Linked DNA regions of Lepisosteus oculatus. The protein of the gene in region 1 interacts with the protein of each later gene in a biochemical or structural test. Links are inferred from orthologs where the notes say so. Each region holds a gene or a part of one and is shown on either strand. Other genes may lie near its edges.

Evidence for each region.
Region 2: the proteins of anapc2 (region 1) and ube2s form a complex in vitro, tested with the Homo sapiens proteins (3 studies listed by BioGRID and IntAct). The link is inferred for Lepisosteus oculatus from reciprocal best matches to the Homo sapiens genes ANAPC2 and UBE2S.
Region 3: the proteins of anapc2 (region 1) and pttg1 form a complex in vitro, tested with the Homo sapiens proteins (2 studies listed by BioGRID, with this or other methods). The link is inferred for Lepisosteus oculatus from reciprocal best matches to the Homo sapiens genes ANAPC2 and PTTG1.

The regions. Positions count from the first base shown.
Region 1 is NC_090719.1:331,099-338,987, forward strand, and holds the start of anapc2 (anaphase-promoting complex subunit 2), read left to right. Parts: upstream 1-4,868; 5' UTR 4,869-4,883; coding exon 4,884-5,195; exon of another isoform or gene 5,196-5,672; intron 5,673-6,328; coding exon 6,329-6,400; intron 6,401-6,557; coding exon 6,558-7,141; intron 7,142-7,218; coding exon 7,219-7,351; intron 7,352-7,657; coding exon 7,658-7,814; intron 7,815-7,889. UniProt on the Homo sapiens protein: Together with the RING-H2 protein ANAPC11, constitutes the catalytic component of the anaphase promoting complex/cyclosome (APC/C), a cell cycle-regulated E3 ubiquitin ligase that controls progression through mitosis and the G1 phase of the cell cycle.
Region 2 is NC_090718.1:812,351-819,408, reverse strand, and holds the start of ube2s (ubiquitin-conjugating enzyme E2 S), read right to left. Parts: upstream 3,038-7,058; 5' UTR 2,891-3,037; exon of another isoform or gene 2,786-2,890; 5' UTR 2,650-2,785; coding exon 2,647-2,649; intron 1,227-2,646; coding exon 1,079-1,226; intron 319-1,078; coding exon 128-318; intron 1-127. UniProt on the Homo sapiens protein: Accepts ubiquitin from the E1 complex and catalyzes its covalent attachment to other proteins. Catalyzes 'Lys-11'-linked polyubiquitination.
Region 3 is NC_090706.1:28,924,921-28,932,638, forward strand, and holds the start of pttg1 (securin), read right to left. Parts: upstream 3,007-7,718; 5' UTR 2,900-3,006; intron 2,506-2,899; 5' UTR 2,504-2,505; coding exon 2,413-2,503; intron 1,736-2,412; coding exon 1,578-1,735; intron 753-1,577; coding exon 665-752; intron 456-664; coding exon 309-455; intron 1-308. Other genes in the region: pre-mRNA-splicing factor SLU7, read left to right, coding at 5,613-5,749, 6,443-6,596, 7,464-7,544. UniProt on the Homo sapiens protein: Regulatory protein, which plays a central role in chromosome stability, in the p53/TP53 pathway, and DNA repair. Probably acts by blocking the action of key proteins.

The DNA.
Region 1 (7,889 bases):
AAACGGAAACAGAATGCGAGTCGGAGGGTGCCCAGAGCTGTGGGGCGTTCTTTCCGTCACCTCGCCGTGAGACGTCCTGCCGCTCCTGTCCTTGTTTTTCCCTGGTGGTTGATGGTGTGGTCGGCACCAGGGGGTTCATTCCCATTTCCAGCCCCTCAGGCCACACCAGCAGTGTCCAGCAGAGGAGTAGACCCTGTGCTGCCTGGACTCAGGAACTGTCCATTGCAAGAATGAGAAAGGACCCCCGGCTCCGACCTCTGGTCCGCTCTGTGGGCGTCTTCGGCTTGATGGAGACACTCCTTTGCCACACAGCTGCTAACTGTCTCTGTCTTTTCGAAATGATTATTTTGTGAGGATGAGTGGATTTGGCACTGTGGAGGGAGGTCTAGAGGTGGGCTAAGGGGGAGATCCTCAGGTCTCTGTGCTGCAGATTCCACCACCCGTTTCTTCCGTTTTGAAAGTGCAGCTCCAGCGAGAGACGGCATGGATGAAGGAAAGAGGAATTATTTCTGTTTAGTTTCCTCTTAAACTGTGTTCTGGAAATTACGCTGGATGTTTTTTGGAGAAAGAGGACAGGGAGCAAATTCGGTTTTAGAGCGAAAGGCTCTGATAGGCAGCTCCAGAGTGGGAGACTGTAGGAGAACCAAGCGAGAGACTGAGATATAAGGAGAGGATTCAGTTGTGAGAGTGGTTCTCTGGGCTTCGGCTGCTCTGTAACCTATCAATAATGATGATGACTGCATGCCTGGCATCTCTTGTAAAGGATATAGAAGAGCACAATACGTTCTCAATTTCAGCAACAAGATCAGACCTTTCCACGGGAGGGCAGTGTTTCCTCATTTCCTGTTATGATCATCATCATTAATGGTTCTCTCAGGGGTGGGTACCTCCAGTCCTGGGCATCTGCATTTGTTTCTGCTTTTCATTCCATTTTCCATTCCATCGACTTTAATGACTAAACTGAACTAATTAAGTGGCTATGAAGTCAAATGCAAAGACGTTTTGCAGGTCTAACCAGGTGCTAATTGAGAGGTAACTCTAAAAAGGGCCAGAGCCTGGCGCTGCAGGACAGGAGCTGCCCGCCCCTGCCCGTTCACCGCCTGCTCAGTGTCGTCTGCATGCCTTCTGTTCTCACGGTGGAATTCCTCCAGTTACTTGATGTTAAAGGAGCAAGAGGGAACGGATAAGAATTTTTTTTATTTTTTCATTTGCACTGTCATTGCTTTGTTTGCACTTATTGTGGGAGGAGATGCATCCAGCTGGCTGGGGGGTGGAGAGCTGCAGCCTCTGAGCCCCCAGACCACGGCAGTGGGCTTGCAGACAGGGAGGGACTGGGGCTTTTAGAAGAGGCTGGTGAGTATTATTGTCAATGCAGGTTTTTAACTCCAGGATACTACGATTCATAGAGTTTTTAAGTTCTTTCAAATTAAAAAAAATTCTCACTTTCCTGCTCCATTCCCAATTTCCTCTAGTTACTGTTCACAGGTCCTGATTAAGCACATTAGTCTCAAGCACTCCTGCTACACGAGCTGCTGTAGCAAACCCAGCACAGTAGGTGTTCTGTAAACTCATGCTCATGTCGGATTAAGAGCAAGCCCCTGTGTTTAATGAGCAATAAGCAGTGGCTGCCTTTATCAACTAGAAACTCTTAGAGGTGTCCTCCCAAGTGAGCAGTGGAGAGTGACGGAAATCACAGGACACAGCCATGCGCCCTGCAGCCCCTGGAGACCAGGGACTGACCTGCTGCAGAGAGGCTCACTGAGGGCCAGAGCTCTAGCCCACTGTCCACTCTTGCGCCAGAGAAACTTACCTGTATGTTAAAATAGAAACTGTCACGTCTTATTTCTTTGTATTCTTTTGATCTATGGCATTGGAAAAAAATTAATTGTATCATTTCTACCCAAACAACTTAAAAAATGTTCGTCAGACAACACAAATGCAAATAAAAACTAGATTAAACAAATTGTTTTTCTGGAGTCTCTTGATTGCAGTGGGTTTCTGTCTCCTAAGATGGCAGTATAAAAAACTGTCCCTTAGCTACACCCTGCATGCTTTTCAAAAGTGTCTGTTTACCACGCTGTACGTGTATGATGGTGCAGTTAAATTATACATTTCAACTTGGTGTATTTTTTAGTTTGTTTGTCCTGGGAAAACTGGCCCTGGTGTGATTTGACATATTTGTGGGTGTGGGAGCCCTGCGATGGACTGGTGGTCGCATCCAGGGTGTACCCTACCTTGTGCTGGATAGTGTCCAGCTCCCCTGAGACACTGAAGTGGATGATCGGCATATTTTTAAAAAACAAAGGCTGCTGCAGCTTCTGTAGAAGTATTTATTAAAATCTATATATTTTATTTTAGAAAAGAAATACAAAAGATTGGTGCATGAAACTCAGAACAGTTTGATTGCAACTACAGATGATCTACAGTCTCTCTGTCAGCACGGAGGCCACAGCAGGGGCATTTCCAGACTCGCGGGAGCCCAGTACGGGCTCTGGTGCTGCAGGGCTCGACTCTCTCCTCTGGGGGGCTGGGTGGTGGCATCAGTGGTCCTTGTGTGCCTTCCGTGGGTCAGCAGCTTTGCCCAGGTTCCCTGCCTCCCTCTTCAGCACACTCAGAAGAGTCTGGGAGCTCTCCAGGATCTGGCCATTGCAGAGAGAAGGGGTAAGGAGGAGAGAGAGGAGTTCTGTTAGCCAAGACAGTTTTCATGAAATCTTCTTTGTTTCAACTCTTCTTTACGTGGAGAGTTGGGAGAACTTTGAGCCTGCCTACTCATCCCTGATATGGGAGTTGATCCCACAGGACCCTTCGGGGAAACAGTTTGATGAGACTCTGTGATTAACTAAGTGAGTCAACTGGAATCTTCTGAACTGGCTCCTCTCTTTAAAAATCTTTCAGATGTTCTCCTAAGATTAAACATGCTGAACCAGCACATACTGAAAAGAGAGTTTTCTTTTTCCTCAAAAATAAAGCTGGGAAAAAAGCTGGACACAGTGGAGCAATTAAGGAGTAGATGGGGGCTGTCATGCTGAAGAGCTCGGAGCCAGGGTACTCCAGGGAGTACAGGCACAGCGGCTCATTAGTGTTATTTTTTCATTAGAGAGATTGGGGGGTGTTAGTCTTTACACATTCCAGAGGGAGCTGGAGTACATGTCCAGGAGAACACTACCCCCCATGCAAAAACAGCAGTTATGCAAGGACATGCTGGATGCCTTTAATGCAGGGTTTACTTAAGTAGTACTGGGACTTCACAAGCACCATGCAACCACAGTGTAGAGACGCATACTGAGACTTTGCCTGATGTCTAGGATGAAGTTTGTAGGGAACAGTATCATTCTTTTATTTGATATGCTGTAGGTGTTAGAGTGTGCAGTGTATGCAGTTGAGATAGTGCGGGATGCAATGTGTGTAGATGTGTAGATGTAGTACTTAGACGTAATGGGATCCAGCACCAGTATGGCCAGCAGAGAAGTTCTCACCTTCATGTACGCGGCCTCAGTCTCAGCGATGGTGCGGTCAAAGTCATTGCGTGAGGCCAGCTTGCGCGCCAGGCTCTCATTGACACGGCTCAACTTCTCGGTCAGGATGCGGATGTCATTCTGGAGCCGAACCTTCTCCTCCTCTTCCTGCTCGATCTGTCTGTTCAGTTCATCCCTCTTCGCACACAGCTCCTCGATACCTGCGCAGCACAGTAACACAGCTCCTCAAGCACCATTCCAACGAGAACCTACAATGGGTTCAGTCAGTGTTTTAACAGGAGCAATTTCAAGTTAAGAAAACACTGAAAAAAAGGAAAAAGCCTTCTTCGTTTGCAGCTTGCACACTGATGCAGCTATATAGTACTAGTGTATTGTCGTGTCAATACATCCACTGCTGACACTGTCCCTCAGCGTGCCAGCCCAGGCCTGATGACTGCTGCTGTATTTGTGCAGTTCTACCCACCCAAAGCTCTGGGGGCCGGGGAGGTGTCATGGAGGAAGAATCACCATCTCTGCTGGAGGAGTGGACAGTCTCTGAGGTCACAAAACTGGAGGAGGAAGGGATTCTCACCCCAGCTGATCATCAGTCATTTTAATTAGAGTTAACTAAATCAGCGGAGCTGGGCACTCGAGGCATACCGTGGAATACAATGACATCACTTGTGTAATCCCACCTGGGATGTGACTTCAGGGCAGAATTCTGATTTATTGTTTGCCACTGAATGCACAGAAAACAAATTTAATAGGATTTTTGTTCTCCTGCTTGTTTGTAGTGCCTCCCAGCTACACACCCTATGTAAACACACAGCCCCCTTTCAAATCTCTGCCCACACCAGTACCAATTCCGCTCACATACAGTTCAATGACAAAGACCTACTTTGAAGCCAGATACAGTAATGAGTCCAGACATCCCTTACAGCCCACAGACACTTCACAACAGGATCGGTCCAGAGAGTCGAGCTGAGCCCGGGAGACCACAGGACTCGAACTACCCCAGCAAAAGACCCTCTCTAATCGGATTCCCACTAACCTCCTGGAAGGCTGTCTTCACTGTGCCTAATCCCGACACTCACTGCTCACTGTGAGCGCGGCCCTATGCACATCGACGGTACAGCAGTTTCAACAGTAGCTTGGAAACGCTCGATGAAAAACAGAAACAATTGCATTCAACTCAAAAATGCTAAAATCTTCAGCTATAACAAGAAGCAATCTCCCACACATTCACGCCTCTGCATCCTCCGCTGATTTCGCATTGTGTTCAGAAAACACACAAGCCGTGCCGTTATTTGACACAGGACAGCCTCCAGCTGCGGAGGCGATAGCAAAAGTATTTTATTTCTCGATTTTAAGCAGCACGAATTGCCTGCTATGCTGGACATCAGGCTATCACACCGTATTTGTTTCGCTATGGGTCTCAGTCTGACGGCTCGAGAGGATCTCTCCCGCCTCGGGTCACTCACACTTGACCAGCTCGTTGTTGTAGGTCTGCAGCGCCGCTCCCTGCTGGCTCATCCTGCCGGCTCGGCGGGACTCCTGCACGCACTGCCCGGGATGGGCCTCGGCTCCACCCGCCTCTTCGAGACGAATCTCCTTTGCTGGCACGCAGATGAGGCTCGGTCGCAGTGCCCACTTGTCAGTTCAGCTACCCTCTCCCCTGCGTTCCCGTTTCCCCTCTGTCTTCCCTGCGGAGCTGTTGTGCGGCGCTGCCCTCCTCTTCCGGTCAGTTTCCAGGGCAACTGCCTAGCGCAGCTAAACGGCCGCTCTGCTTCCGCCACACTCTACAACGCTCTCTTATTTAATGCTTCTTCTTCGCCTTGCTTTTATCGTGCAGTGTCGGTGATGAGCCGTTTCATATCCACACGGAAGGTTTACGATCTCGTTATTAGACTTAGACGTCTGTTATTAGGGGCATAGCTAACAAAATGGTGGTGACGTCATTACAGTGCGCCGCAGCCGAGCGGGAGAATGCGGTTGGGTAAAAAAATTGTACCCTGGTTTTATAGTTAGAAATATAACGTCTTTGTCTGCATGGGGTGTACATATTCAAGACAGTAATTTGAGGCTGTAGCTCCTTTCTGAGTGGGCAGTTCCAGGAGCTGACCAGGAAAGAGCGGCACCGGAACCACTCGAAGGGCTCAGAACAAGAAACCTGTTACTGATTCGGCTCCAAAAATTATAACAATCGGCGCTTTTCAGGTAAGTCGGCGACGAAACAATTTTGGGCAAAGTTCAGAGTCCAAAGAAGCTTTTGCAGGAAAGACCAGGGTGCGCGGCTGTTGAAGGAGTGTCGGGCAGTGTCTTGAGCAGATTCCCTTACCTACAGTACGACACTGCAGTGTCAGATTCGTTCGGATACTTTAACACAGAAACAAACAATACATAATAATATGTCAGTAGCTGTGGCTTATCAAAATAGGTCCCTCAATGACGTGTATCTTGGATAATGTATCAGGTTGATTTCCGGAGGAAAGGCTGATGTACTATAGGAGCGTAATTGAGAATTCATTATCATGGAATCCCCATGTTCCAGTTAAGCCGTGACAGACCTGTCACAATCCCGAGATAAGGCGTGACAGTAAGCTCTCTGGAGGCCGTGAGCACAGGACCCTGAGGGTCCTGGGGTGTTGTGCGCACTGTGACAGCTGGGCTTCCTCATGCCGGGGTGTGTTATAACATGGGGGGCTTCAAAGTCTCAGGCTTCAGGGGAAGGTTTGCGCCTCATTATCTGAAAGCCCCCTGAAAAGAAGCCCCTTCTTTACCGGGTGGGAGGGACCAGAACTAAAGTAGCTTTCCTGCTCGTGTGAGCAGGTACTGAGCCAGCAAACTGTAGCAGCTGCTCCTCTCTCTGACAGCCCGTCCCGCCTGGGGGAGCTATGGACGTGGCCCCGCTGGCCGCCGCCTGGGACAGCGTGACCTCCGTGCTGGTGAGTGGAGTCGCCCGAGGAGGGGGCAGGGCCAGGGGGTGGCACCCTTTATCCTGCTTTTCTGCTGTTCCTAACTGAGCCAGGAAGGGCATTTTCCTGCTCGAATTTTAACAAGTCTCCCTCTTCCTTCCGCCTCCCCACCCCCTTCCTCCCCCAGGTGTCCCCGGGGCCAGAACCCCCCCCTGAAGAGCCTGTGTCCCAGGCCCTGGCGGTGCTGTGCTCCTGGGGGCTCGGCGGCAGCCTGGAGGCCTGGCTCCTGGAGGCCCTGCAGACGCGGCTGCAGGCGGCCGTGGCCCCCGAGTTCTGGGCTGGGCTGGACCAGCCGGAGAACGGGCTGAGTGAGAGGGAGCGGGCCGCGCTGCTTCTGGGTGCCTTCCGGACTCTGCTGAGCCGCCTGGAGCCCTTCCTGAGGGGGCTGGGGTTGCTGGGGGCCTGGCAGGACGAGGGCCGGGGGGGCCTGAGCGGCCCCGGGGCGCAGGGCCTGAGGGACCGGGCCTTCGCGCTGATCCGGGCCATCCTGCTCTTCTCCCCCGGCGGGGTGCTGCAGGAGCGCGTGCTGGAGTTCTACAGCCGCACCTTCGCCGCTCACATGAGCCGCGAGGAAGGGCAGGACGGGGAGCCAGAGGAGGCCGAGGGCCCCCTGGGGGACGAGGGGGGGCGGTGTCCCGGCTGCAGTATCCCCCCGGAGGAGTGCTGGTGCGAGGAGGCCCTGGAGCAGCTGAGCGAGCTGAGCCACATCCTGTGAGTGAGGGGCCGCGGCGGCGGGGGGGGGGGTGTGCGGAGATGCGCGGCCATGCTGACTCTCTGGCCCCTCGCAGCTCCAGGCTGCAGCTCCAGGAGAGAGTCAGCGCCGAGTCGGTGACGTCCATCCTGCACCAGCTGATTGAGCAGCGCATGGAGCGCCGCTGCCGGGGCGAGTACGAGAGCTCCTTCATCAGCGACTTCCAGCAGGTACTGCCCCCCTCCCTCTGGCCCTCCCGCTGTGTTGCTCCTGGGGAGTTGATCATCTGCCTTGCTCACACTGAATCCCACACACGACAGGCTCAGCAGTCCTGTCTCTGTCTCTGTCACATAGTGAATACAAACAAAAACATGACCACGGCTCTTTATTTTCATTCAGTCTCTCCACTGTCACTACCAGTGTGGTGGGAGATGAGGCCAGGTTGTTGCTTAAGGATTAGAAGAATCTGGGCAACACAGATCACAGAGCGCGAGGTGTGCTGGTTCGGCCGGTCAGCCCTGTCTCCTCTCCCCCAGTGGCTGGAGCGGGTGCTGGGCTGGCTGGGCCGGGTGTTTGCCAGCGCCGGGGGGCCGGGCAGTGCCGCCTTGCAGCGATGGCGCTGCCACATGCACCAGTTCTTCTGCCGGCTGTACGTCAGCATGAGGATCGAGGAGCTGTTCAGCATCATCCGAGGTGAGACGGGAGGCCCAGGGTGGGAGGAGTGTGAGAGAGCTGAGATAGACTCGTGGAGATGGGGGGCTGTGTTTT
Region 2 (7,058 bases), on another chromosome or scaffold:
TATTATCATCTAGAATAGTATTAAAATATGTCTCGGCGTGCGCGGGCGTGCCTCTCCACTTCCTCAGGACAGCGCGTGAGCACAAGAGCGCCGCTCGGAACCTTCCCCGAGCCCTCCCGGACCTCACCAGCAGCACGTGTCTCAGCCCCAGCTCGGCCCGCCAGTCCCTCTTCAGCACGTTGACGCAGATCTCGCCCTTGTGCCCCACGTTGGGGTGGAAGATCTTGGTCAGGAAGTAGCCCTTGGGCGGCGCCGCAGGGAAGTCCTTCCCCAGGACCAGGCGCATGTGGAACAGGCCGCCCGCGAACGGGGTTCCCTCTGGGGGCAGAGAGGGGTCAGGGGTCAGCACAAGCACCGCCTGCAGGGGGGCGGTCCAGCCCGCCTGCTCACTGGACACGGGTCAGTGCGCCAGGGGCTGGGGACACTGGTCAGTCTGGGTCAGTGGTCAGTGCGCCAGGGGCTGGGGACACTGGTCAGTCTGGGTCAGTGGTCAGTGTGCCAGGGGCTGGGGACACTGGTCAGTCTGGGTCAGTGCGCCTGGAGCTGGGGCTGGGGACACTGGTCAGTCTGGGTCAGTGCGCCTGGAGCTGGGGCTGGGGACACTGGTCAGTCTGGGTCAGTGGTCAGTGCACCAGGGGCTGGGGACACTGGTCAGTCTGGGTCAGTGGTCAGTGCACCAGGGGCTGGGGACACTGGTCAGTCTGGGTCAGTGGTCAGTGTGCCAGGGGCTGGGGACACTGGTCAGTCTGGGTCAGTGCGCCAGGGGCTGGGGACACTGGTCAGTCTGGGTCAGTGGTCAGTGCGCCAGGGGCTGGGGACACTGGTCAGTCTGGGTCAGTGCGCCAGGGGGTGGGGACACTGGTCAGTCTGGGTCAGTGCGCCAGGGGGTGGGGACACTGGTCAGTCTGGGTCAGTGGTCAGTGCGCCAGGGGCTGGGGACACTGGTCAGTCTGGGTCAGTGGTCAGTGCGCCAGGGGCTGGGGACACTGGTCAGTCTGGGTCAGTGTGCCTGGAGCTGGGGCTGGGGTCAGTGGTCAGTGTGCCAGGGGCTGGGGTCAGTGGTCAGTGGTCAGTGTACCTGGCCCCTCGATGGCAGTGTGCAGCTCCGTGATGTCTTCCTCGCTGGGGTAGATCTTGATGCCCTCTGGCGGGTCAGCAGCCAGCGCGCTGACCTCCTTGTAAACCAGCCGCAGGACCTGGGGGGGCAGGTTCTCCACATTGGAGTTCTGGACAAGAGAGAGGGGATCACGTCACACACCGCTGGCCACAGCCACGCCTGACCGGACACCGCTGGCCACGGCCACGCCTGACCGGACACCGCTGGCCACGGCCACGCCTGACCGGACACCGCTGGCCACGGCCACGCCTGACCGGACACCGCTGGCCACGCCTGACCGGACACCGCTGGCCACGGCCACGCCTGACCGGACACCGCTGGCCACGGCCACGCCTGACCGGACACCGCTGGCCACGGCCACGCCTGACCGCACACCGCTGGCCACGGCCACGCCTGACCGCACACCGCTGGCCACGGCCACTGCTGGCCACTCAGGCTGGAGGAGCTGTGTCTCTTCAGTCTTGAACACTACAAGAGGACCTGATACAAGTACCCAGCAGGGGGAGCCTGGCCAGGACCTGCAGGGAGACTCCTGGGACAGAGGCGTCAGTGGGGCCAGCAGGGGGCGCTCACCCAGTACAGTGACGGGGACACTAGACTGGAAACAGGCGCCGTCCTTCGGATGAGACGTCAAACCGATGTCCTGACTCTCTGTGGTCATGAACAATCCCAGGGCGTCTCTCGAGAGGAGTAGGGGTGTTACCCCAGTGTCCTGGCCAAATTTCCCCCTGGTCTTTACCAGTCATGGCCTCCTAATAACCCCCCTCTCTGAACTGGCCTCATCACTCTGCTCTCCTCCCCACTGAGAGCTGGAGTGTGGGAGCGGACTGGAGATCGTGCAGGTGGGGTACACCCTGCTGGTGGTGGAGGGGAGCTCTGAGTGGAGTGTCCAGAACAGGGCTACATCAGTGTAATTATTATTATCATTAAACTCCTCGAGGGCGGGAGCAGAGTCTTCCGAGTGACACGAGTGGAAACTGTGCGGAAAAGCGTTTAAAACCGAGAGCACGAGGTGCTTCTGTACCCCGAGGGTGGTGGGAGGAGGGAACAAGCTAACCAGGATTCGCTGGTTTCCTTCCGGCAACAGCGGGATGAGAAACCGGGATCAATCACCTACTAGCGACCGGGCGGGCCGGGCCGGGCCGGGCCGCTGCGAGGCGGAAGCCCAGCGCGACACATGCCGCGATCTACGGCAGCGGTGTGCGCCTGCTCCAGTCCCGGGCCGCAGCCGAGCGGAACCGGACCAGGAGGGCAGAGACCCCGGGGAGACGCGCGGAACCGGGCCCGGGACCCGCAGGCGGCGCACACTCGCCTGATCACCGTGCCTTCTCGCAGAAGGGTACTTTTTACTCCAGCAACAGCTCGCTGGAGGGAGGCGAGCGGTACCGCCCGGCCGCGGGTCCAGACCCGGCGGCTCCGTGGACTTTCTAGCCAGCGGTTAGGGCTCCGGGGCCGAACCTTGTGCCGAACAGCGTGTTTGTACTGACCGAGGCGATTTAAAGAGGGAGAGAGGCGCAGCGCTCACTCACCATGTCTGGGTCCGGTCCGGTACCGCTGGGGTCGGGGCGCTTCTGGAGAGCGAGAGGAGAGGGGAGGGGGGCAGAGAGAGATCTCGGCCAGGACAGCTCTTTTTAAAGTTCAGCCCCCTCGGCGAGAGAGGGACAGGATCTCCGGCGAGAAAAAAAAAAATGATAATAAAAAAAATTCTAAATATATTTCCAGGTTTGTTTTATAATTTCACCTCCCGCTCGTCAACAAGGACCCGCGGCCCACCTTATTTAAGCGCCTCCTCGACTCCGGGCCCCGATTCCGACGCTCCTGCTGCAAATATATTTATAAAATTATTTATTATATTTTTAATACCCTCCCTGGACGGATGCTGCGCCGAATTCTCTTTCCGACGGGCGGACGCACAGGAACACAAATACAAAAAAAACAGTAAAAATCCCGCCCGCCCAGCCAATCGGAAAACGAGGAGCGCCTGACGTCACTTCCACCCGCAACGCTCTGAGCCAATCGCCCGCCGGAGGCCGCTCCCCGTCATGCCACCCGGCAACCGTCTCGACCAATGCCAGTCGAGCGAGTGGAAAATGCTTTACTCTGATTGGTCCGTTTGAATAATTAGTGCCTACCCCTCTTTCTCCGGGGAGGGGGGCGACACCGCCCACTGGGTAAACGGCGTACTTGATTGACGGCAATGAAAGCAAATCAAGATGGGGAGCGTCGGGAGTGACATTAGTTTGATCCAATAAGAGAAGAATTAGGTACGCCGTACGCCGTGATTGGCTCGGCGTCTGTTTGAGTGCCGGGACGTAGGGGGCGGAAGTTTGCTAAGTGACGACATTCCTGTTAGAGCGCTGCTGGTCTTCAGCCATGGCTGTTATGCTTTACGGTTTTAGGAGCTAAATGTGTTCATTTATGGTTGTTTTTTTGTGTGGAAATGTTCATTTTTGCCACATAGTTTGTCTCTGCTAAAGCCGAGGCACGGAGGAGGGTATTAAAATGGACGTAAGTCCGCACCTGGGCGGCAGACGTCTGCTCATAAACCTACGATGAATATTAAAACGTGGTTGCTGTCAAAATGTCCACCTTCTTAGTTTTTTATAATTGCTGCTTGGAAGCCCGAGGATTCGTGAAAACCTACTTTTTATTATAGAAAATGCACCTCTATTTGATTTAGCTGCGCCTATCGGTGGTGGTGGTGGAGGGGATCCCCATTACCTGTAAAGCGCTTTGAGTGGAGTGTCCAGAAAAGCGCTATATAAGTGTAAGCAATTATTATTATTATTATTATTAATATTATTATTATCGCGGGTCTCCAGAGCTCTGAGCAGGTTTAGTTCAGTTCCGGACAAACGTGACCGGTTTGCTATTTTCTTATATATATGGTTTCTGTCATCTGACCGCCATAAAGCTTGGTAACATTTGAAGACATGGAGTTAACGATAAGTAGTTTAATTGAATGTTAGGTGGTTTATTCAGATTTTGTTCATCTGTAATGTCCCCGGTCAGATCTGGGCGACCGTAGGAAATGACTGGGTGAGACGATAATAAAGATGCAGAATTCACACACACGGGGCTGTGCGTTTTATCTTAGAACCTGATTGAATTTGTGATGTTTGCCAAGCAAATGGTCACTCGAACATACTTTCTTATACTCTGTCTTTGTAGATGAAATCGTTTGGTCGGTTTTGATCCGGAAACACAGCAGGTGTGATTATGTGGCACCACTGCAACATTTAAAATGGTTTCCAAACGAGTATCTTGGCTAAACTTTAACACACCAGTCTGTGATAAGCACTCTACCGTGTATTTCTCTGGTCTATACTGTAGTCAGAATAACACGTTAATTGGGCTCATTTTATCTCAAAAACGAGTGGTCTAACTTCAGGTAAATGAGATCTCTGTACCATAATGACTAGGAATGAAGTTCGTTAAAAGGTGTAACAACATTAGGTGGTAGAATACGGTTCAGAATTGCTTTATGAACAATTATAACAGGCTGCCCAATTTTGGGCGTTAACATCATAAATAGGAATCTGTGTTTTACACAGCCCGAGGGTAGTAGTGATCCCAGTTCAGGGTCCGGTGTCCCCAATCCCCTGCTGAGTATCGGGGATCCCCGCCTTCCCCAGCCCCTGCTGTGAACCCCGGAGCCCAGCAGTGCCCAGAACTGAGCCCCGGAGCCCAGCTGTGTCCAGAACTGAGCCCCAGAGCCCAGCAGTTCCCAGAACTCTCTCAGAGCCCAGCAGTACACAGAACTGAGCCCCAGAGCCCAGCAGTGCCCAGAACTGAGCCCCTGAGCCCAGCAGTGCCCAGAACTCTCTCAGAGCCCAGCAGTGCCCGGAACTGAGCCCCAGAGCCCAGCAGTGTTCAGAACTGAGCCCCTGAGCCCAGCAGTGCCCAGAACTGAGCCCCAGATCCCAGCAGTGCCCAGAACTCTCTCAGAGCCCAGCAGTACACAGAACTGAGCCCCAGAGCCCAGCAGTTCCCAGAACTCTCTCAGAGCCCAGCAGTACACAGAACTGAGCCCCAGAGCCCAGCAGTGCCCAGAACTGAGCCCCAGATCCCAGCAGTTCCCAGAACTCTCTCAGAGCCCAGCAGTACACAGAACTGAGCCCCAGAGCCCAGCAGTGCCAAGAACTGAGCCCCTGAGCCCAGCAGTGCCCAGAACTCTCTCAGAGCCCAGCAGTGCCTGGAACTTAGCCCCAGAGCCCAGCAGTGTTCAGAACTGAGCCCCTGAGCCCAGCAGTGCCCAGAACTGAGCCCCAGATCCCAGCAGTGCCCAGAACTCTCTCAGAGCCCAGCAGTGCCCGGAACTGAGCCCCAGAGCCCAGCAGTGTTCAGAACTGAGCCCCAGAGCCCAGTTGTGCCCAGAACTGAGCCCCTGAGCCCAGCAGTGCCCAGAACTCTCTCAGAGCCCAGCAGTGCCCAGAACTGAGCCCCGGAGCCCAGCAGTGCCCAGAACTGAGCCTCAGAGCCCAACTGTGTCCAGAACTCTCTCAGTGACCAGCAGTGCCCAGAACTGAGCCCCTGAGCCCAGTTGTGTCCAGAACTGAGCCCTGGAGCCCAGCTGTGCCCAGAACTGAGCCTCAGAGCCCAGCTGTACCAAGAACTGAGCCCCAGAGCCCAGCAGTGCCCAGAACTGAGCCCCGGAGCCCAGCTGTGTCCAGAACTGAGCCCCGGATCCCAGCTGTGCCCAGAACTGAGCCCCGGAGCCCAGCAGTGCCCAGAACTGAGCCCCTGAGCCCAGCTGTGTCCAGAACTGAGTCCTAGAGCCCAGTGCTCTCCTCCAGTTTCCCTGCGATGCCGGCTGCGCTCGGGGGAGTGGTATCCTGTTACAGCAGGACTGGGGTGTGTGGAGCAGGGTAGGGGTCCGCTGTCCCCTTGCTGCTTTCTTTGCGCAATGAGTGGCGGGGGTGTGGAACGCACTGCCCAGCGCTGTCGTCGAAGCTCTTTCACTGGTATCCTCTGGGAAGCAGCAGGATGGGAGTCCTGGGAGTGTGGGAAAATGCAGTATCCCCCCCCCGTCTGCGGCCCGGCGGCACCTTTCCCTATAATCTGCCGGCGAGGGCGAAGCCGAGTTCAACTCAGGATTCAGCGCCTCGACACTCGGAGGGGTCGTGTCAGCCCGGCGCCACTAGACGGCGCTGTTTCCCCGCGCACGCCGTGTCCGCAAGCCCAGCTCGGAAGGACTGTATCGGACCGGGTCCCCTTCTGAGACACAGACTGTGTGGGAGAGACAGGAGAGACACAGGCTGTGTGAGAGAGACAGACTGTGTGAGAGAGACAGGAGAGACACAGGCTGTGTGAGAGAGACAGGAGAGACACAGACTGTGTGAGAGAGACAGGAGAGACACAGGCTGTGTGAGAGAGACAGACTGTGTGAGAGAGACAGGAGAGACACAGGCTGTGTGAGAGAGACAGGAGAGACAGGCTGTGTGAGAGAGACAGGAGAGACACAGACTGTGTGAGAGAGACAGACTGTGTGAGAGAGACAGGAGAGACAGGCTGTGTGAGAGAGACAGGAGAGACACAGACTGTGTGAGAGAGACAGACTGTGTGGGAGAGACAGACTGTGTGAGAGAGACAGGAGAGACACAGGCTGTGTGGGAGAGACAGGAGAGACACAGGCTGTGTGAGAGAGACAGGAGAGACAGGCTGTGTGAGAGAGACAGGAGAGACACAGACTGTGTGAGAGAGACAGACTGTGTGAGAGAGACAGGAGAGACACAGGCTGTGTGAGAGAGACAGGAGAGACAGGCTGTGTGAGAGAGACAGGAGAGACACAGACTGTGTGAGAGAGACAGACTGTGTGAGAGAGACAGGAGAGACACAGACTGTGTGAGAGAGACAGACTGTGTGGGAGAGACAGACTGTGTGAGAGAGACAGGAGAGACACAGGCTGTGTGGGAGAGACAGGAGAGACAGGCTGTGTGAG
Region 3 (7,718 bases), on another chromosome or scaffold:
AAGAGGTCAGGTCATTGACCATAGGTCACTCACTAGATCAGCACCTGCAGCAAAGCCAGTTGCATATCTAGTCTTGTGAACTGGAGTCTTAATTGTGCAGGAGGCAAAACACTTAAACAGGTGGATTACACCTGCTCATGGGCTGACAGCATGCAATCTGGTCAACAGCCAGCCCTGTTCACCATTTTAAATCAAACGGGGTTTGCTCACTTCAAAACCTACGGCACTGGTTTCTGCAAGAGGGTGGCAGATTCCCCACTCTACAAAACACCACCCCTACCCCCCCCCCCCCCCCCCCACACACACACCTTTTGGTAAGGTCAGAGGCGACAGCTGCATACAGACATCCAACAAGTGAAAGTCATCCTCCTCTTCCACAGTGGGCGGCACTGCCAGCCCTGCCAGGCACAGGTGGCTCAGGCGCTGCTCCTCGGGCACATCGAAGCTCTCAAACTCTGATGGGAGACCAGGACCATCAGCCCCAGAGAGCGAGTAGGCAGGAACCCAAGCAACAACAGTCATGTACAGGTACTTAAACAGATGGAACAGACTTACCGAGTTCAGGAACAGGTGTTCAACTAGGGGGGTTCAGGAAGAAGCTATCTGGCACATATCCCTTCATAGCCCCCCCCCCCCTCTCAAAACACACAGGAAGGGGACCTACCCAGTGGGTTATAGGGAATCATCTTCTCCACCTCGGGGTACTCCTCTTTCTTCACCTGTCGGGGGCAGGCCTTCACCTCTTCTTTCAGCTGGGGGGCCAGGCAAACGGCTTGATTAATTCAACTGAAACCCAAACACCAGCCAGAGGCTTCGACCCATGTGAAGCATCAGTAGGATTCCTAATGCAGGTGACCAGTGCTTTCCACAGGATACGAGTCCTTAGCAGGCTGGGCCATGCCATCAAAGGCAGTGCTGGGTTTGAGCGGCAACCGGAGTCTTCATTAAAGGGGAACTGCAACACTTTTTATATTTTGGGGCTAGAAAGAATCCGCATGGAGAAGTGTATTTCAAACTGCAACAGTAAAATGTACACAGTAACTGCGATTCAAACGAGGCAACAACTCCTGGTGAGGTGAAGCCACCCTTTTACATTGTAAACAAACAGGCTTGTGAATACATCTCTTTTAATCCAATAGAAATATTGCTCTTGGCTTCAAGATAGTTTTGCCAACCCTGCATGCAAAACACATTAGAACATTTCTGAGGTGAAATGTTTGCAGCTCAACTTGAACATTACAGTACGTGTCTCGTTGCAGTTAATAGTGAGCAGGACCCAGTCACAGCACCAAATTTTATACACAACCTTTAAAATTTATGAAGTGGTCAATTAGGGAGGTAATTTGTCAAGTCACATAGACTGGAGCTCTTAAGATCTTTTCTAAAGAGCTTTCAGTCCTTAAGGACTATGGTTCCTTTAATTGATCAGTAGCCATCTGATCCAGAACCTAGGCTGAAGAGTCCAAGACTTGTTTAAGATATCAGGCACAAGAGCAGTGTCAGGTTTGTCGATGGACTCCAGGTTAGAGCAGGAGTGAAGTATCCTACTGGCACTGCAAGCTGCCTGGTAAGTGTACCTTAGTCGAACCCACACGTGGCTCCTTCTTCCGGACAAGAAGGGGCAGGGAGGGAACTGAGCCAAGCGCATTGACTGTCTTCCGAGCCGAGAGCATGGGGGCGCCGGTCAGGAGCTTCCCAGTGTGAGGCGTCTTCAGGCATCTGTCAGCGAGCAGATCTGCCAACAGAGAAGCTAGTATGCCACAGACTTCATGATAATCCCTTACACTAATATAGCACTTCTCTGGACACTACTCAAGACGCTTTACAGGTAATAGGGATCCCCTCCACCACCACCACCAGTGTGCAGCCCCACCTGGATGATGCTCCAGTACCCTCCCTACACACCAGCTCTGAGTGGGGAGGAGAACAGAGTGATTAAACCAGCTCAGATATGGGGATTATAAGGGGGCCATGATTGGTCAAGGCCAATGGGACATTTGGCCAGGATACCTCATATTGAATTGGTTAAAGGGATCTCATCCAGCCACTTCTCCAAATAAGCCAAGACATGGATGCAGTAAATGAGACATTACAGCAATCTAGGCTTTATGAAAGAGATGCACTTCAAAAGATACAGCCATGGAGTGGGTTTATTAACAAAGAATTAATTTCAGCACCACTGTTAGTCATTTCGTTTTACAAAGGACACATTGGCAATGGTCCTGTATTCATCCCAGCACTATTCAGCAGGTAACGATACCTCCGCTGATGTGGCTCGGAAAAGAATATCGCCGTAGCGACGCTCTGAAACCAAGTACCCTTCTTCTAATTAGTTACCCTCGTAGTCTATCAATCGAAATCGATGCGCAATGAATAACACGGGAGGGCCCGACAGCGGAGCGGGGGTCTCACCTGGAGCAGACTGTAGCCTCACCCGGTTCTTCGCGGGAGCGGGCGTCGAGAGGGAGCCGTTTTCCTTGTCGGTATAAATCGCCAGGGACATCTCTGAAGAAAAGAAAAAAAAACGAATCTGTAGTGCACAACAACAAGACGAGTATTAACAGGTAGGACACTTAAAACAAGCGATTCCAAAAGAACGTCCCACGTGGGGTAATGGATAAAAAAAAAACTAATCTTATGTAGTTCAAGAATGTAGCTGCGTACGTCACCATGCGTACGCGGCAAAGGAACAAGTTAAATGTTTATTCCACGCTTAACAGGGAAGAAAGGAAACTCGACGTTTCGGCTGTGGACTATATCTATAAAACTATACCTTTGCTACTACCCGCCTCATAAGGACGTATTGCAGCTTTATTTTTTGCTCCAATACTGCAAAAACGTTTCGATTTCATTACAGAGAACATTTTTAAACCCCCCTCCTCCCCACTGCGTTACTTACCAGCGTACTAAATTCAAAGCTTCACCACACAAGCGCCACTCTCCGTGGGCTCTCGTTTTAAACAATAATCCGCGCTCCCATTGGCTCTCCGGGGAGCACGAGGATGCAGCTGTTTCGAGGAAGTGACGACTGTCCGCACCGCCCCCTTGCGGACCGGGTGTGTAACGCGACCGACTGAGGCTGTTTTCATATCGCCGCTTTTTTATTGCTTTCACACAACTTGCTCGGTGCAAGCCAGCGCCTCCGCTTGTCATCTTAGTGAAACCTGACGGAGGGGTAGACGCCCGGGCTATTGGCTCCAGTGCAGTTCATCATCGCCCAGCCGACTGTTCTCCTACCGGTGTAATTCCTGGTGCGACACACTGCTTTATCACTTTTATCGACTGGCGCAGGAAATAATTTCTTAAATCACCGTGTAAATCAGGACCCGCTTGAATAGCGGAATGGTCCTCAGATCCATTAACAGCTGGGTTGCGGACAGTATAAAAATCACTCCATTTATTTTTAAAATTCTAAATCACTGGGCAGTAATTATGAACCTGTAATAACAACGAAGTGGTGAAAAGAGCAGATTAGAAAGATGTAAACATTCAAGAACTATGGTATAACTTTAATTGAGTCAAACGAGCAGTTAAGACGGGAGTATACGGCTCTTTCCAGACAGCGAAACCGGGGGACCGGGAGCCCTTACTGACGCAACAGTTTGGTAACCGTCGGATGAGCGGTTTTAAACAGCCGGCGGATCTCACTCGGGTTTCATCTCTTAAAGTTAAAATCAACGCAAGGAGGCCAGTGGGCATTCTGATAGCACACCGATGGTGGCGAAGCCGCCGGAAACAGTATTAAAGTTACCAATAAAGTTGCGGGTATTACTAACATTATCACTACGGTTTAGTTTAAATCCTCCAGCACTATAGGTGCTTCATTTGCAGATTTTGCCACTAAGACATTAAAAATAGAATAAGTCAAATACAGATTTTCACGATAAGTGTAGGAGTATTTATAGAATTTAATTAAAAAATTTAAAAATGTATATTTTTGTGTTACTGCTGAACAAACTTTAAAGCACCACCACGCAGACGCCCCCCTTTGAATGACGTCAGCGCGCAGGGTATCCTGGGAATATGGCGGCGTTGTGCGGTGGACTGTAAATACGACACTAGGAGACGATAAACTGACCTCAAAATATATTGTCAGTCGAGTTCGGTAAGACATATTTCTACTTATTATGTATCTTACACGTCATGTTTTACGCGGATTTCGCGTCATAACGTCATGTGTTTCATTTGAATGCGCTTCCCCAGGTCGTTTACGCACAACGGTTGTGTAGCTGTAGACGGAAGGCCAGTTTGTTATGGATGAACGCTTGTGAATTTAATGTAAATCTATGGCATTTGGAAGTACGTCGTTTGTTTTGCAGTATTCGAAGATAACTTTCCTGTAACTGTTAAATTCCAGTATCGCTACAGAACACGTGTTTCCCCCTGTTAGCCGGGGAAGTAGCTGGTTTCAAACCTCGGAGCTTCTCCAGTTTCTGCCCAGAAGACGGAGAGGAGGCTGGTTTATGAACAGTCTGTTTCTGTATTTGTCTTTCTCGGCCTCTTGTTCATCTCCCAAGTCCCCTCCCTTTCTCTTCGAATACTGCAAAGGAAATTATCATCTCTCTCGCTCTGCGACTTCGTTCACGGGACTCAGTAGGTCAAATTGGGGAACTGGTTATCTGACATTTGCTATATTTCTACATGGCTGTGTTTTGTTACAGCTGGTAAAAGCTCCACAGCCGAAACGTTGTCTCTTTTTACCAGGAATAAACCTGTACCCGTTCCTTTGCAGTCTACGTATGCTGACACTGCTACCTACTTGAACTTCTGTATATTTTGTATACTAACGATTGTAAAAGCAAACGCACAAATACATATCTCATCGATAAAGTCCTGGTTGGGTTATTAGGGGACTCAGAAAACCATTATGGACCCGTTCTAAATGACTGTACTAAATGGTGTAACGAGTTTGCACTTAAATGTTGTCAAAACGAAAGGAGCTGGTCATTGATTTTCAGAATAATGCAACATCTCTCCAACCTACAGTAATTAATGGTCAGACTGCAGGAATCGTCACTGACTAACAAGTACTGGGGGTGGTCATAGACAAGAACCTGAGTTGGGACAAATGCTGTGAAACCGTTTATAAAAAGTACAACAAAGACGTTTGCTAAGAAAAACTAAGAAATTTCTAGATAGATAGGACCATCCTAACAATTTCTACAAGTCTTTTATTAAAAGTGTCTTGGCATACTATCTCACTTGCTAGTGTTGAAATGAGTACCATTGATTGTAATAGTTTTCCCAGCCTAGTCCAAATAAATAGCAAATTAATTGGAGGAAATCAGCTCACCTCACATATCCTCTACAAGCAAAGCGTGCAAAGAAATGCTTTGTAATGCAAAGAAAGCAAAGTGTATTATGGATTGTGTCCCCAGTTGTAATACTCATAGACACAGGAAATCTTTCAACCCCACTGAAATATCTAATATCGTAACTGTCTTGCCGTAACAACCACCACTTCTTGGTTGGTAAAATTTTGTCTGTCCTTGTGTTATGTTGGAGTGTGGGGTAAAACTAATTTCCCCAGTGGGACTTGAAAGGTTGAATTGAATTGAATAATCCAGTCTCTCCCACCCTCCTCCTGCAGGTGGCGCTGAAACAGAAGAGCCATGTCAGCAGGGACTGAGGGGGTGGTGGGGCTGGAGGAGCCCAAGAAGATGACCAGGGAGGACTGGAGGAAGAAGAAGGAGCTAGAGGAGCAGAGGAAGCTGGGAAATGCCCCAGCCGAGGTGGACGAAGAGGGGAAGTACGTCACGCAGGCCAAAACCTTACAAACTGTCAAATAAAGGGTGGAAATTTGGAGCCGAAATCCAAAAGCATTGATGTGCTGCTGGGCATCCTTTGGGGAAAGCCAAGCGACAGGAGAACAAGAGTTTTTTTTGAGGGGGTGCCGCAAGATGCATGCTGTAGGATTTTGTGTGTAAGCTAAGGGCTCTTTATATCCGCAGCTCAAGAAGAGCTGGGAGATGCTGTGAAATTAGTCTAGTTAAACCAGATGGTTCCTGGCTTAGCTCTTAAACACTAAATTAGAATGACAACCTACAACACACCAGCCCTCCAGGACCAGATTGGCTGGCTGTAAACCTGTTTAACTTTAAATATGAATTCATTACATATGCCCCTGCTGATACTAACCTACAAAATACCGATGAGGGGTTTTGTGCAGAGGATAGTCAGTGGAAGTTCGTGACTTCCATTGCTTAGATATGTTGCCTTTTCCTTCTTGATACCAGTTCTAGTAACTTTCCAGGTGTTTTTTTTTTAGAACAAAGATCTTCACATCTCCAGCCCATGGCTTTGGTATCCTCTGCCATCTTTGTGAAATTTTTATACTTAGCATATATGTGATCAAGACACGGCTCTTGAGCATCGCGTCGCACCATTACAGGTTTGCAACGTTGGTCTAAATGAAATTGCTGACCTTTCATTCTTTTTCTAGGGACATCAACCCGCACATTCCTCAGTACATCTCCTCCGTGCCTTGGTACATCGACCCCTCCAAGAGGCCGACCCTCAGGCACCAGAGGCCACAGGAGGAGAAGCAGCCGCAGTACACGGCCATCGGGGACTGGTACAAGCGGGGCGTGCAGGAGGTGAGTGCTCAGCGCGGCGCTGGGGTGCTGCTCTGTAGGTAGCCCATCCCCTCAAATCACACGAGCCTTCTTTCCCGTAGGTATTTGCCCCAGGCGAGAATGTGATTCACTGTTTTCTGAAAAGTCACATTAAAAAAATAATAATAATAATAAACGTTATTTTATGTAGCGCCTTTAAAGGTGGTTTCTCAAAGCGCTTTACAGGATGACAACAACAATAAATAAGAAGAATACACAAGATGAAACACAATTACAATATATAGAGGAGACCGTGGATGGTGGTACTAAGAAAAGCAGAGGGGTGAAGAATGCAACCAGTTCAGTAAAGGCTTTTCTGAAGAAGAGGGTTTTGAGCCTGGATTTGAAGGAGTTCAGAGAAGGTGACTCTCTGATATCCTTGGGGAGACAGTTCCAGAGCCTTGGGGCATAACAGGAGAAGGCCCTGCCACCCCTAGAGTGTAGACGGGCTTGGGGGACAGTTAGGAGAGCAGAATTAGAAGAGCGAAGGTTGCGAGGTGGGGAGTAGGGCGATAATAGTTCAGACAGCTACTGAGGTGCCAAGCCTTATAAAAATGAAGGGGGGCAGAACTATCACATTTAAGGGAGTGGCAAAAGAGAGAATTTCTGGGGAATGATAAATGTAGTGTTTATAACTGATGTCTTAGGCATTAGGCAAAGAAAAGTACAGAATTGGGACGCTTGGCTTGTTAAGCTGAAACAAAATGGTCTATTAGAACATTTTACTGCTCAAGCACTACTTGTCTTGTAATCTTCAGTCAGGCCATTTATTATCATAAGACTGAAAAATGTTTTTGCTGTGTGAGGGATGGTATACAGCATTTGTGAGTGTTTTTTCTTTTGGCGTAGAAACCTGTTACCACGAAGTATCGGAAAGGGGCATGCGAGAACTGTGGGGCGATGACGCACAAGAAGAAGGATTGCTTGGAGGTAAGTGGGAACCAATATTCCATGGTCCTGGTCGGGGGGAAAGATAGTTGGCTGTTTCGTTTTCTTTCGCCTTCTGTTTCTCCTTCCTGAGCCTTCCCGAGCTGGCCTCCGTCGCCGGGTGGCTAGTCAGAGCGAGGCAGAAGAAAATGGCCGCGCCGCTGTCCAAACGATCAA